Linked DNA regions of Arabidopsis thaliana. The protein of the gene in region 1 interacts with the protein of each later gene in a pairwise test. Each region holds a gene or a part of one and is shown in the gene's direction. Other genes may lie near its edges.

Evidence for each region.
Region 2: the proteins of WAV2 (region 1) and AT3G50860 interact in a protein complementation assay, tested with the Arabidopsis thaliana proteins (one large-scale study listed by BioGRID).

The regions. Positions count from the first base shown.
Region 1 is NC_003076.8:6,942,438-6,948,376, reverse strand, and holds WAV2 (alpha/beta-Hydrolases superfamily protein), read left to right. Parts: upstream 1-1,862; 5' UTR 1,863-2,061; coding exon 2,062-2,299; intron 2,300-2,588; coding exon 2,589-2,624; intron 2,625-2,754; coding exon 2,755-2,833; intron 2,834-2,944; coding exon 2,945-2,999; intron 3,000-3,091; coding exon 3,092-3,208; intron 3,209-3,905; coding exon 3,906-4,070; intron 4,071-4,491; coding exon 4,492-4,720; intron 4,721-4,833; coding exon 4,834-4,841; 3' UTR 4,842-5,422; downstream 5,423-5,939. Other genes in the region: BRXL4 (BREVIS RADIX-like 4), read right to left, coding at 1-244, 336-434; AL5 (alfin-like 5), read left to right, coding at 5,531-5,630, 5,831-5,863. UniProt on the Arabidopsis thaliana protein: Involved in the regulation of root growth. Involved in the suppression of the root bending in response to touch stimuli, gravity and light. Negatively regulates stimulus-induced root bending through inhibition of root tip rotation.
Region 2 is NC_003074.8:18,899,995-18,904,707, forward strand, and holds AT3G50860 (Clathrin adaptor complex small chain family protein), read left to right. Parts: upstream 1-2,150; 5' UTR 2,151-2,351; coding exon 2,352-2,420; intron 2,421-2,522; coding exon 2,523-2,565; intron 2,566-2,688; coding exon 2,689-2,750; intron 2,751-2,847; coding exon 2,848-2,944; intron 2,945-3,487; coding exon 3,488-3,558; intron 3,559-3,716; coding exon 3,717-3,808; coding exon of another isoform or gene 3,809-3,812; exon of another isoform or gene 3,813-3,898; coding exon 3,899-3,965; 3' UTR 3,966-4,203; downstream 4,204-4,713. Other genes in the region: AT3G50845 (MIP18 family protein (DUF59)), read right to left, coding at 113-213, 481-526, 635-734, 901-1,004, 1,102-1,215; AT3G50850 (Putative methyltransferase family protein), read right to left, coding at 1,395-2,150. UniProt on the Arabidopsis thaliana protein: Part of the AP-3 complex, an adaptor-related complex which seems to be clathrin-associated. The complex is associated with the Golgi region as well as more peripheral structures.

The DNA.
Region 1 (5,939 bases):
TCTCCTTTCCCCAAACCCTAGGCTGTTGTTGTTGCGTCGCCGCCACCGCCGCCGTAGCTGTAATCGAACTGTTTGATCTTCCGTAAAGCATTTTAAACCGTTGATCCGATTCGAAATCCGACTTTACCGACGACGACGACGGATTGTTCTTGATCGGACCTTGTCCTTGTCCCTGACCTTGTGCCGCCGTACACGGCGTACAATGCCGGTAAGCTCCTGATGCTTTCAGAGCCATATCTTTGAGCTGATATTGAATTGACGAAAATACCCTCAATCAGAAGAGAGAATTACGAAAATTGGAGACGGAGGAGAAGAGTGAGTTTATTTCAATTTACCTGAGATGTTAGAGATTTGGCGTTTTTAGAATCTGGATCGTCTGGTTGACCGGAGGATTCATCGCCTGCTCGCTTCGAACGAGCTATACACGTCAGCATTTTCCGGTGACTGGCTTGGTCTTTGATTTGAGATTTTTTTTCTTTCTCTTTTTGGATACGGAGAGAGAGAGACAGAGATGGTGTCAGTTTCTTCTACTTTGGTTTGGGTTCGGTGCTCTTTTTATGTTTTATTCTCTCTTTTTTTTTATAATTTCTGCTTAAGAAACTTTAAACCGGGATTACCGGTTTCCAATAAAGGTTCCGCGTCTCACTACGGTAATTACGCAATCCGGTGGTTAAAATTTCGAAAGTGAAAAAAGTAAAAAGTTTTGGTCTTGCATAAGGTAAGGTAAATCATTTTTGTTTGTTTACTGATTAGCTAAACTTGTACAGAGGTTAGACTATATACATGATTTTTGGCCTGTGGATTTAGACTTTCAGAGGTATCAAAGGTCGTTCTTCACACTCAAGTAGCCAAGTGTGCTGCAAGATTTGAAGTTAATCGATATGTATGCAAAATTTGACTCTGACTTTTGAGAAACCTAAAACGAAATAATTTATTATGTGTGGTTCTAAGCTAGATCACAATAATAAAAAGTTGTTCTTAGCATTATTCATTAAATGGGTACTGTAGTGTGTTGTTCATAACGCTTCTGATGGCAACTCATTGACATTTAATTTAAGGATAGCAATATGTTCCGTCCGACAATATTTATGTATGTGACGTCTTCGTCTACATTACATTTCAAGTGAATAATGATCCAACGACTCGAAAATATTAATAGTGTAAGTATTTTTGTTGTTGTTGTTGTTGTTGTAAATTTGGTAATGTACTAAACTGAAAATTAAAATGTTTTGGCAAAGGGTGGTGGTCCAAGACTTGTTTAGTTTACAAACAACTCTTCAGTATTTTTCTTTTTTTTCGACCAGCCACTATGGTCTTGTTATCGTTGAGTGTCAATATAACCTTTCTGAAACATTACACTAGGGTCACTAAGATAAATTGGTCTCTTCTCCACTTTTATTATTTCATATACAAATTTGTATGTACCAAGATCTTATCCACAAAATTTCGTTTTTCCCAAAACTATTATAATATTATTAAAGAGGTCAAAATGGTTTGTGCTTGTTTACAATATATTTAAGTTTTTTTTTGCTAAGTTTCTTACAACATTTCAAAATGCATGACAATGATTTTACTTAACTCATTTAAGCAAATAACTTCGCGATACAAACAAAAATCAAGTTACTATTATATAAAAATCAAGATAGAAACTGTAGAATAATCTATATAATTGTTGAGTACAAACTTTACAACTTAGCCGAACTATTGATTAGAGTTCATCGGGAAATGTCATATTTGAGTATTGTTGGTGGACTCGCAAATGAACAATTTAGACCACCAAATAGAGCTACATTTTCTTATGGTGAAGACTCAAAATCGGTTTGGGTTTAGCGCATAGATGGGCTTTAGTTTCGGCCCAGTGAAACTCTGTCTCAATCCTTCTCACCTGTAAACTTAAAAAAAGAAACGAAGAAGCTCTTTTTCTCCCCTCTGAAGAAGAAAAGCAAAATCCACGAGAGAAACAGATAGAAAGTTGCAAAAGTGCGTTCGATTTTTGCTTCTTCTTCTGTTTCGGATTCGGATTTGGATTTGGAATCTGCTCCTTTAGCAGAACCAGAGGAAATGGTGACGTACGTGAGCGCGTTGTTCTACGGATTCGGAGGGATAGTCGTCGCCGGAGTGGCGCTGCTCGTGGCTTTCCAGGAGAAGCTTGTGTACGTCCCAGTGCTTCCGGGTTTAAGCAAGTCTTATCCGATCACTCCCGCTAGGCTCAATCTCATCTACGAAGATATTTGGCTTCAATCATCCGATGGTGTACGTCTCCACGCTTGGTTCATCAAGATGTTCCCTGAATGTCGAGGTCCACACTCTCTTTGATCATTGAGTCTCCTTTCGATTCAGTTTTTTTTTCCTGGTAGATTTGATTTTACATTTTCGAATAAGCTTTTGAATCTACTGAATTTTGAGGGATTTTAGGTCTTGATGTCTCTGTCTTTAGCTAGGTTTTGGATTCCTTTTCTCAGATTTGTGATCCCTAAGTCATTTTAGCTTTAGTTTGGAACTTATCTGTCACCTAAAATCTAGTTGCTTGTGGTTGGTAGCTTTAGCCTAATTCGAAGTCTTTCTAATAGTTTATGTTTGGCATGCAGGTCCAACCATTTTATTTTTCCAGGAGAACGCTGGAAGTATCCTTTCCAGAGCCATTTCTTGGTTTTTGTTTGTTTATATTTGTATGCTCTAAGGAACCTATTTTATGTTCCATGTCTGTTAGCTGGGATACTTTGTCTTGTTACGACCTTGACCTTAGAATCCCAGACATCGCTCATCGTCTGGAGATGGTTCGCATCATGATACAAAAATTGAAGTGCAATGTATTCATGCTTTCATATCGCGGGTTAGTTTCAGTTTGCTGGTTTCTGGTCTATCTCTTATATAAATTGTTTGTTTTTGAGTCTAAACCTTGGATCTGTTTATACAATGCTTATTGATTTTCCCGTGCAACCAGCTATGGGGCAAGTGAAGGCTATCCTTCACAACAAGGTATCATAAAAGATGCTCAGGTTTGCTTGTCTCCCTAAATTTATCCACATATCTCTTCTGTTGCGTCTCCATGTATTCATTATCCATTTTCTTGCCTGATATTTTTTGTTAGGCTGCATTGGATCACCTTTCTGGAAGGACTGACATTGATACATCTAGAATAGTTGTATTTGGAAGGTCCCTTGGGGGAGCTGTTGGAGCTGTGCTTACCAAAAACAATCCAGATAAGGTACTATTAGTACATATTGCTATTGGTAGCATTTCATGAGTAGGGAAAATGTATATTTTATTAGAAGAGAGACAGTATAGGCCAAGTACCAGCCGCCAGCTCTGTGGATGTTACTGTTTAAAGGGAGAAGTATTATTGAGAGTCCCACATGGTTACGAATGAGACTAACAAATGCCTTATAAATTATAACGCCTAAGGGCACCTTCCTCTCTCCTCTAGGGGCTTGGTTTGGATGGCTTCTTATCAGTATATTAATGAGATTCTGGTTACTGTTGCAAATTATTATAACTCATGGTCTTTGGCAGATGACCTGGAGTCCAATTGTATAAAAATTTCTAGAGTACCTCTTTATTTAGATTCTAGTCACTTATCATCAGTAACAATCTACGCGGTTTGTACTATCTGAATATAATTATTTTTTGTGTTAAAGTTTTAGTCATCTGGCAATAAAAGAACCTGGTTGATAGGGGTATTCGTTTGAGCTTTGTTATAGGCCTCCTTTTATCACCCCCACTGATATTTACTATTATATGCACAAGAACCTTATCCTTCTCAGAAAATTTCTTGGTAAATGAAATTTGTAGATGCCTTGATTAAGCTATTATTTTTGTTCTTGTTGTCTCTACTTCCAGTATTTCATTTGATATCCACACGCCTTATAGTTGTATGTTTACCATTTCTCAATGTCGCTATATAGGTATCTGCATTGATTCTGGAAAATACTTTCACATCCATTCTTGATATGGCTGGCGTTTTGCTGCCGTTCTTGAAGTGGTTTATTGGAGGAAGTGGTACGAAAAGCCTGAAGCTTCTTAATTTTGTTGTACGTTCTCCCTGGAAAACAATTGATGCTATTGCTGAGGTAAGATGCAAATGTAGACTCTTGCAGATAGATGTTAGATGGATTCTTTTCGTTTACTGTTTGCATATGCCATAAAATGACTCATTTAAGCAAAAAACACTATGGTACCCCAATGACCTCACTGGCATATATATTAATATATCTCATGCATTTGCATTCCTTCATTTCCTTTTAACGGGACATAGTGTATATATCTTTGCGGAATATGTTGAATTCATGATAAGCTAACCCGAACTATAAAATTATTCATGTATGCCGCAAGCTGATTGATTGCTCCCTGATTTGTTCTATGGAGTAAAACTTGAAAGGAAACAAGAAAGGAGCTTGATGTGCTGCTAAAAACATATCCCTGTTAAAAAAATGTCTCATCGTTTGATTTTCTGTAGCAACCTGTGATAAACTGATCTTGCAACAATGACAGATCAAACAACCAGTGCTTTTCCTCTCTGGACTGCAAGATGAGATGGTCCCTCCATTTCACATGAAAATGCTGTATGCGAAAGCGGCTGCCCGTAACCCTCAGTGCACATTTGTGGAGTTTCCAAGTGGGATGCATATGGATACATGGCTGTCTGGTGGTGAAGTTTACTGGAAAACAAACTTGCAATTTCTCGAAAAGTATGCGCCTGAGAAAAGGAAAGAAGATACAGGTAAGATGATCTACCAAGTATAAGTAACAATTTTGTTTTACAGAGATGTTTCTTGGGATGTTTTTCCCAAAGTAGAATACTAGGCTTGACGTTGGTCTCTAATCTGATGACAGGAAGGTAACGATCAACGATGCTGTGTTTAGAGGAAGATTCGACTCACTTATTTCCTATTGCAACCTGAAACGACGGTATTGTTTGTTATAAGCATGTGTATACGTATGTTGCATTTGGGAGTGACAGATACAACTTGTTCAGAGAGTGAGATATTGGACAGGAACTTTTGTAAGCAGAACCAGCTAGTGGAGATGGCAAGTGTAAGCTAATCAGATGCATTTGCTTCGTCTCAGTTTTCCTTCTTTTTTTTGGGTTATTTTTTTTCCAATTGTTGTTGGTGTTTCTCATCTGATCGTAACTATTTCCTCTGGATGATCATGGCTTTGTAGATGATTGAGAAAAGTGAAAAAAGACATGGTTATATGATTATATCTTGAATGTGTTGATTACGTCTGTCATTCATAATATTTATGAAATCTGTAGAGTAGTTTTTTTCCCGACAAACTTGATTATGTTTGAAAATGAGATAACACCAAACTAAACGCACGAAGACATTATTAATGTCCATTATTTATGTATTTTTATTTTTAAATAAGTGTTGTGACTAGACCGGGTCGGTCACTGTCCACGGGGCAACTTTTTAGTCTGCATTAAGTTTTCTTACTTTATCACTTAAGAACAAAAATTCTGCTTTAGAAAAAAAAAAGAAGCAAACCTCACTGTTCTTTCATCGTTTCCGAGAGAGGAGAGACGGACATGGAAGGAGGAACTGCGCACTACAGCCCTCGAACTGTCGAAGAAGTCTTTCGAGATTTTAAGGGCCGTCGAGCTGGCATCATCCAAGCTCTCACCACTGGTCTCTTCTTTCTTCTCTTTGCTTTTTAAAGTTTGAAACTTTTCTTATGGGTTTTGAGTTTTTCGTGGGAATTCTTCTCATGACGATCGTTTGGTGGCTTTATTTAGACCCTTTTTCAACAATTGTGCTCTAGTGTTATGGATTGTGTTGATGATGCTTAGTTCTTCGAATTAAGAACAATTAATTTCTTTTTTTTGCAGATGTGGAAGATTTTTTCCAGCAATGCGACCCTGGTTAGCTTTTTTCTCTCTCTAGCCTTAAGTATGCTCTCAAGCTGTTTCAGTTATTCCTGATTTTGAATATGCAAAG
Region 2 (4,713 bases), on another chromosome or scaffold:
AACATTTGAACACACCCTTAATTTGTATTCTGAGATTAAAGAGCGCTCTCTAAGGCATTATATAAACCCATGATATGAAGCCTGTACAAGAGAGTAGAAGTAAATGATGTGATCATATCTCATCGGAGTAGATACACTCATCCACGAGCTGACGGAGATTAGGATTCTCCAATGCAGCCACCACTCTTTCTTTATCATTCAGTTGTTTGTTAACTGCAATACAAAAATGATCCCAATGAGTATTAAAGTTCAGAGCTTAAGACATCAACTTTCCCAAAAATACAAATATAGAAAACCAGATTTTGCAGTGATGTTAATTAGAAACTAAAATCTATCAAACCAAGGACAAGAGCAATGTTTATAATTTACACAAATCATCCATTCAATTTGCAATCTCTATATTAGTTAAGGTTTATAGAAAGCATATATGAACTTAAACCATTGCGAAGAGATGGTCTAGTAAACATAAGACTTCCTCACCTGAAACTTCATCAGCGTGAGAACCCGGAGACACTCTGATATCAACCTAAACATAAGTAAAACAAAACAGAAGCAATCACACATATGTAACAACTAACAAGTGATCTTGAGTATTTGTCTTAATCAGAAAAGAGTTTTTTAAAAGCAAGATGACCTTGTAATGAAGTTGCAAACATTCTTTAAGCTTAGCTCTCAGACACAGACCAATTATATTTGCCATACTACAATGCTGAATCGTCGGTGTAAACGTTATCCTGAGTTCATCACATAACCCAAACCAGCTTATTGTTAAAGATCATGCAAGTAACCACAAAAAGAGGCCTCAACATTAGTTACCAATACAGAGATAAAAATTGGAACTTTCTTCTGATAGTCTCTAAAAATCGATTCAACAAAGAATGATGTTTAATATAAACTCACAGGATGCGATCGAGCTTGTCATCGACAGTAACAGATTCTTCAGAGACAACCCTTAGCTGCTCCAAAGTATAAGGGTGTTCTGGATCTCTTATATCTCTTACATACTTTGTCCATTTTCGTCAAAGATTCCAAAAATATACATTAAACCCCCCAAAAAGAACAAAATCCAAAACAAAATTGATCTCAAAATAGAAAAAGGATATCATATATTTCAAGAGGATCAACACCATCATCTCTATATTGATCTTCTCTACGAACAAGCCCTTCCTTCTTAGCTTGCACCACTGGATTCGCGTTTATCAGTCCCAGAGTCATTTTCTTCTCTCTTTCCTCAGTCTTCGTTCTCTGTATTTTAATCAGAAGTGCTCTGCTTACAAGGTCACGGGTTCGAAGCTCCAACATTTATAAAGTGTACATAATTAAATGTTTCTCATAAAGTGTTTCTTATTTAACAAAGAAGCAAATTTCATTTATCAACATTTGACAAAATCTTCTTAAAGGTTTTGATTTTTCGGTGCAAAACGGTAAACTACAACTCCGATTCTAGCACCTTCTTGAGGATCATCACAATGTATAACATCAACATCGAAGAATCTCCGAGCTTTCTTGAAAAAAATCGATTCTTTCTTCCATCTCTTGAGGTGAGCCATAAGAAACACTCTCTCGGATGATCCTTCTAAGAGCAGAAAACGCAGCGTTTTGAGGAGAGGTTCATAAAGATGAACGTGATAAACCACGTCAGACGCTAGAATCAAGTCAACGTTTTGACCCAAACTTTCCACGTCATCGATTTCGCCCCAACGAAGAGACGCCACGTGGACTTTCCCACCGAACTTAGCCACGACTTGAGCGTTTGCGTCGGCGTTGAATTTGAGATTCTCGATTACGTTTGGGAGATCCGTCACCGTGACATTAGCACCTAGTGTCGCAGCCGCTGCGATACCGACGATTCCCGTTCCAGATCCGAGCTCGACGATGTTAATCGGAGAAGAAGAATCTGAACCGTCGGATTGAAAACTCGAGAAGGTGCGATTGAGAGGACTAATGTTTGGGTCACGACGGTAGTTATCTAAAAGCGTGACGAGAGTTGTTGCAGGTATCCAGAGCTTGAAGGCAATGCCTTGTGTCGGTAACTGACGAATCACAACCGTTGATTCGATCGAATTGATCCGGTACTTCTGAAGCTCCGATTCTACGTCGACTACTTTTTCTCCGATGTTAACATCGTCGTCGTCTTCTCGGAGAGCCATTGATTGTGACCAATCCTCACGACGGCCCCGCTACTATTTATTAGGGCACTCAAATTTGGTTACACGTGGAGGGTTGTTATTGGTGATGACGTCATCAAATGTAATTGAAGAAGCCTCTAAGATAGAGAGAGGGTTTGAAAATGTGAGATTCAGAGTTTGTCAGCGAGAGAGACGAAGAAAGAAAGAGAGGAGAGGTGGAAGATGATTAAGGCAGTGATGATGATGAACACACAAGGCAAACCACGTCTAGCTAAATTCTACGATTACTTGGTACGATGCTTGTTGAGATATGTTTTTCAATTTCGGTTTCTTCGATCAAAGTGACCGATTTTGTAAAATTGGGTTTTTGATTTTGTTTTTTTTGGATTTCAGCCTGTGGAGAAGCAGCAGGAGCTTATTCGCGGCGTGTTTTCAGGTTCTCAATCACTTTCTGCATCTTACGATACCTAACAATTTCATAATCTGTATCGCTAAGATCTGGGTCGATCGTGAAACTTGAGCTGAAATTTTGTTTTTTTGTTTTGTTTATAATTTACAGTATTGTGCAGTAGACCTGAGAACGTAAGCAATTTTCTGGAGATCGAATCATTGTTTGGACCGGTAATGGCGTCTTCATTGTTTATGCTATATAACCACAATACTTAGTTTAACAAAAAAAAACGTTGCTTTGGACACTTATTATTTAGTGTGTTTGCAGGACTCGCGGCTTGTATACAAGCATTATGCTACACTCTATTTTGTTCTTGTATTTGATGGTTCAGAAAATGAGCTTGCTATGCTTGATCTCATTCAAGGTCCGTTTTTAATCACTATGGTTCTTAGATTGCAATATAATCTGAAATGGCATGGTGTAAAACCTTTTTCCATTTTCAATTTTTGTGCTTTGGAATGAGAAAAGTTTCATAGATGTAGCTTGTTTTGAACATCTTTAACCGTTTAGCTTGACTATATATAGAAAGAGGGAATTTGGAATCAGAGTCTTGAATAGTAGAGTTTGTGCAGTGTCTTGGCTCTTTTATTAAAGCTTGTTGCCGTGAATCTAGTACAAATGCATATGAGTGGTGTGCGAGCTCAGCTGGTCTGCATAGGATGTGTTTAAAAGAGAACTGGGTGTTGAGTATTTTTGGATTGGTATTGGGTTCAGTCGAGAGTAGAGATTCTCTTAGATCAAATTAGTTCTTCGTTTTTGTGAATACAGAGACTGACTTAGCATGCCATCGACTGATGTTACATATGAATCATTGTCTATTCCTCTGCTCGTAAATTCTTTTTGCTTAACGCTTTGAAAATGTATTCTCATTGTATGATGATTTAAAGTTAGTTTCTTGCATTGGCAGTTCTTGTTGAAACACTGGACAAATGCTTCAGCAATGTCTGCGAACTCGACATTGTGTTCAACTACAGCAAGGTAATCTTATTACACAGAACAGTTTGTCCTGCAGTGTAGTTGATATTATTTTCAGAATTTGCTGCTGCAGATTGGTTGGATCTTTTAGATAGCTACATGAAACAAAAGCGTGTCAATAATATAGCTTTATGCCTTCTTCTTTCTTTCCTTCATTGCAGATGCACGCGGTGTTAGATGAGATTGTATTTGGAGGACAAGTACTGGAAACTAGTTCTGCTGAAGTCATGAAGGCTGTTGAAGAAATATCAAAGTAGTTCCCTAATCCTTCTCTCTCAATCAGTCTACTGTTTTCTGCATTTGTGGTGTGGAAATAAACAGTTGCACTTTCGGCATTGTGCAGATTAGAAGCTGCCTCAAATTCGATTTCACTTGTCCCCAAGTCTGTTTCCGGGTGGCGTGGCCGTTAGCTTCGAAAAAACTTGCCTGAATAAGTCAGAGAACATGTAACAAAAGCTTATCCAAGTCTTGATCCAAACATGTTTGTTTAATGAGCGTGGAATGTTGCGTGGATGGGCTCAGTAGTCTAACGTGGGCCTGTGAATTGTAATTGGGTAACGGACGGAACTGCTTGCTATTTTTGAGAATGTAACAAAAACGACGAGAAGTTAAGATCTATAAATGATAAATGATGTCCAAATTCAGATTTTGTTGTGGAGTAATAAAACTAGAATAGAAAGTATAGGGAGCTACAAGGTAAAATATAGGAAGTACGAAAACGCCGAACGGCGTGCGTTGCGTTGTGAAAAGAGTCAAAACGGAATTCGATGGGAGAAGACTGAAGATTCGAAAATGTTTGAAGTGCCAATTCATATCCAATTATCATTTTACCTTTTGAAATTCTTATGATCCATCTCTGCATTTTCCAGTACCAGCTTTTTGACCTTTTTTAGTACCCAATAGATTGATAGATACCTATGTGGGTTTTATATACGCAAAAATAAAATTGGTTTTATGTGATTTCAAAGTTTCTAGTGGCTATTGCCTAACCAATGGTAAATGTACACGTTTAATTGCTCTTTTAAAAAACACCAATAGACTAGTTGTTTACATAGTAGAGATTATACGATGAATTGTGAGGATAATGCGAATAGGAAACATCTAGGTTAATTGTTTGGCCATTTTGAGAGTGGATATCGAAATATTTGAAGTTTAAAG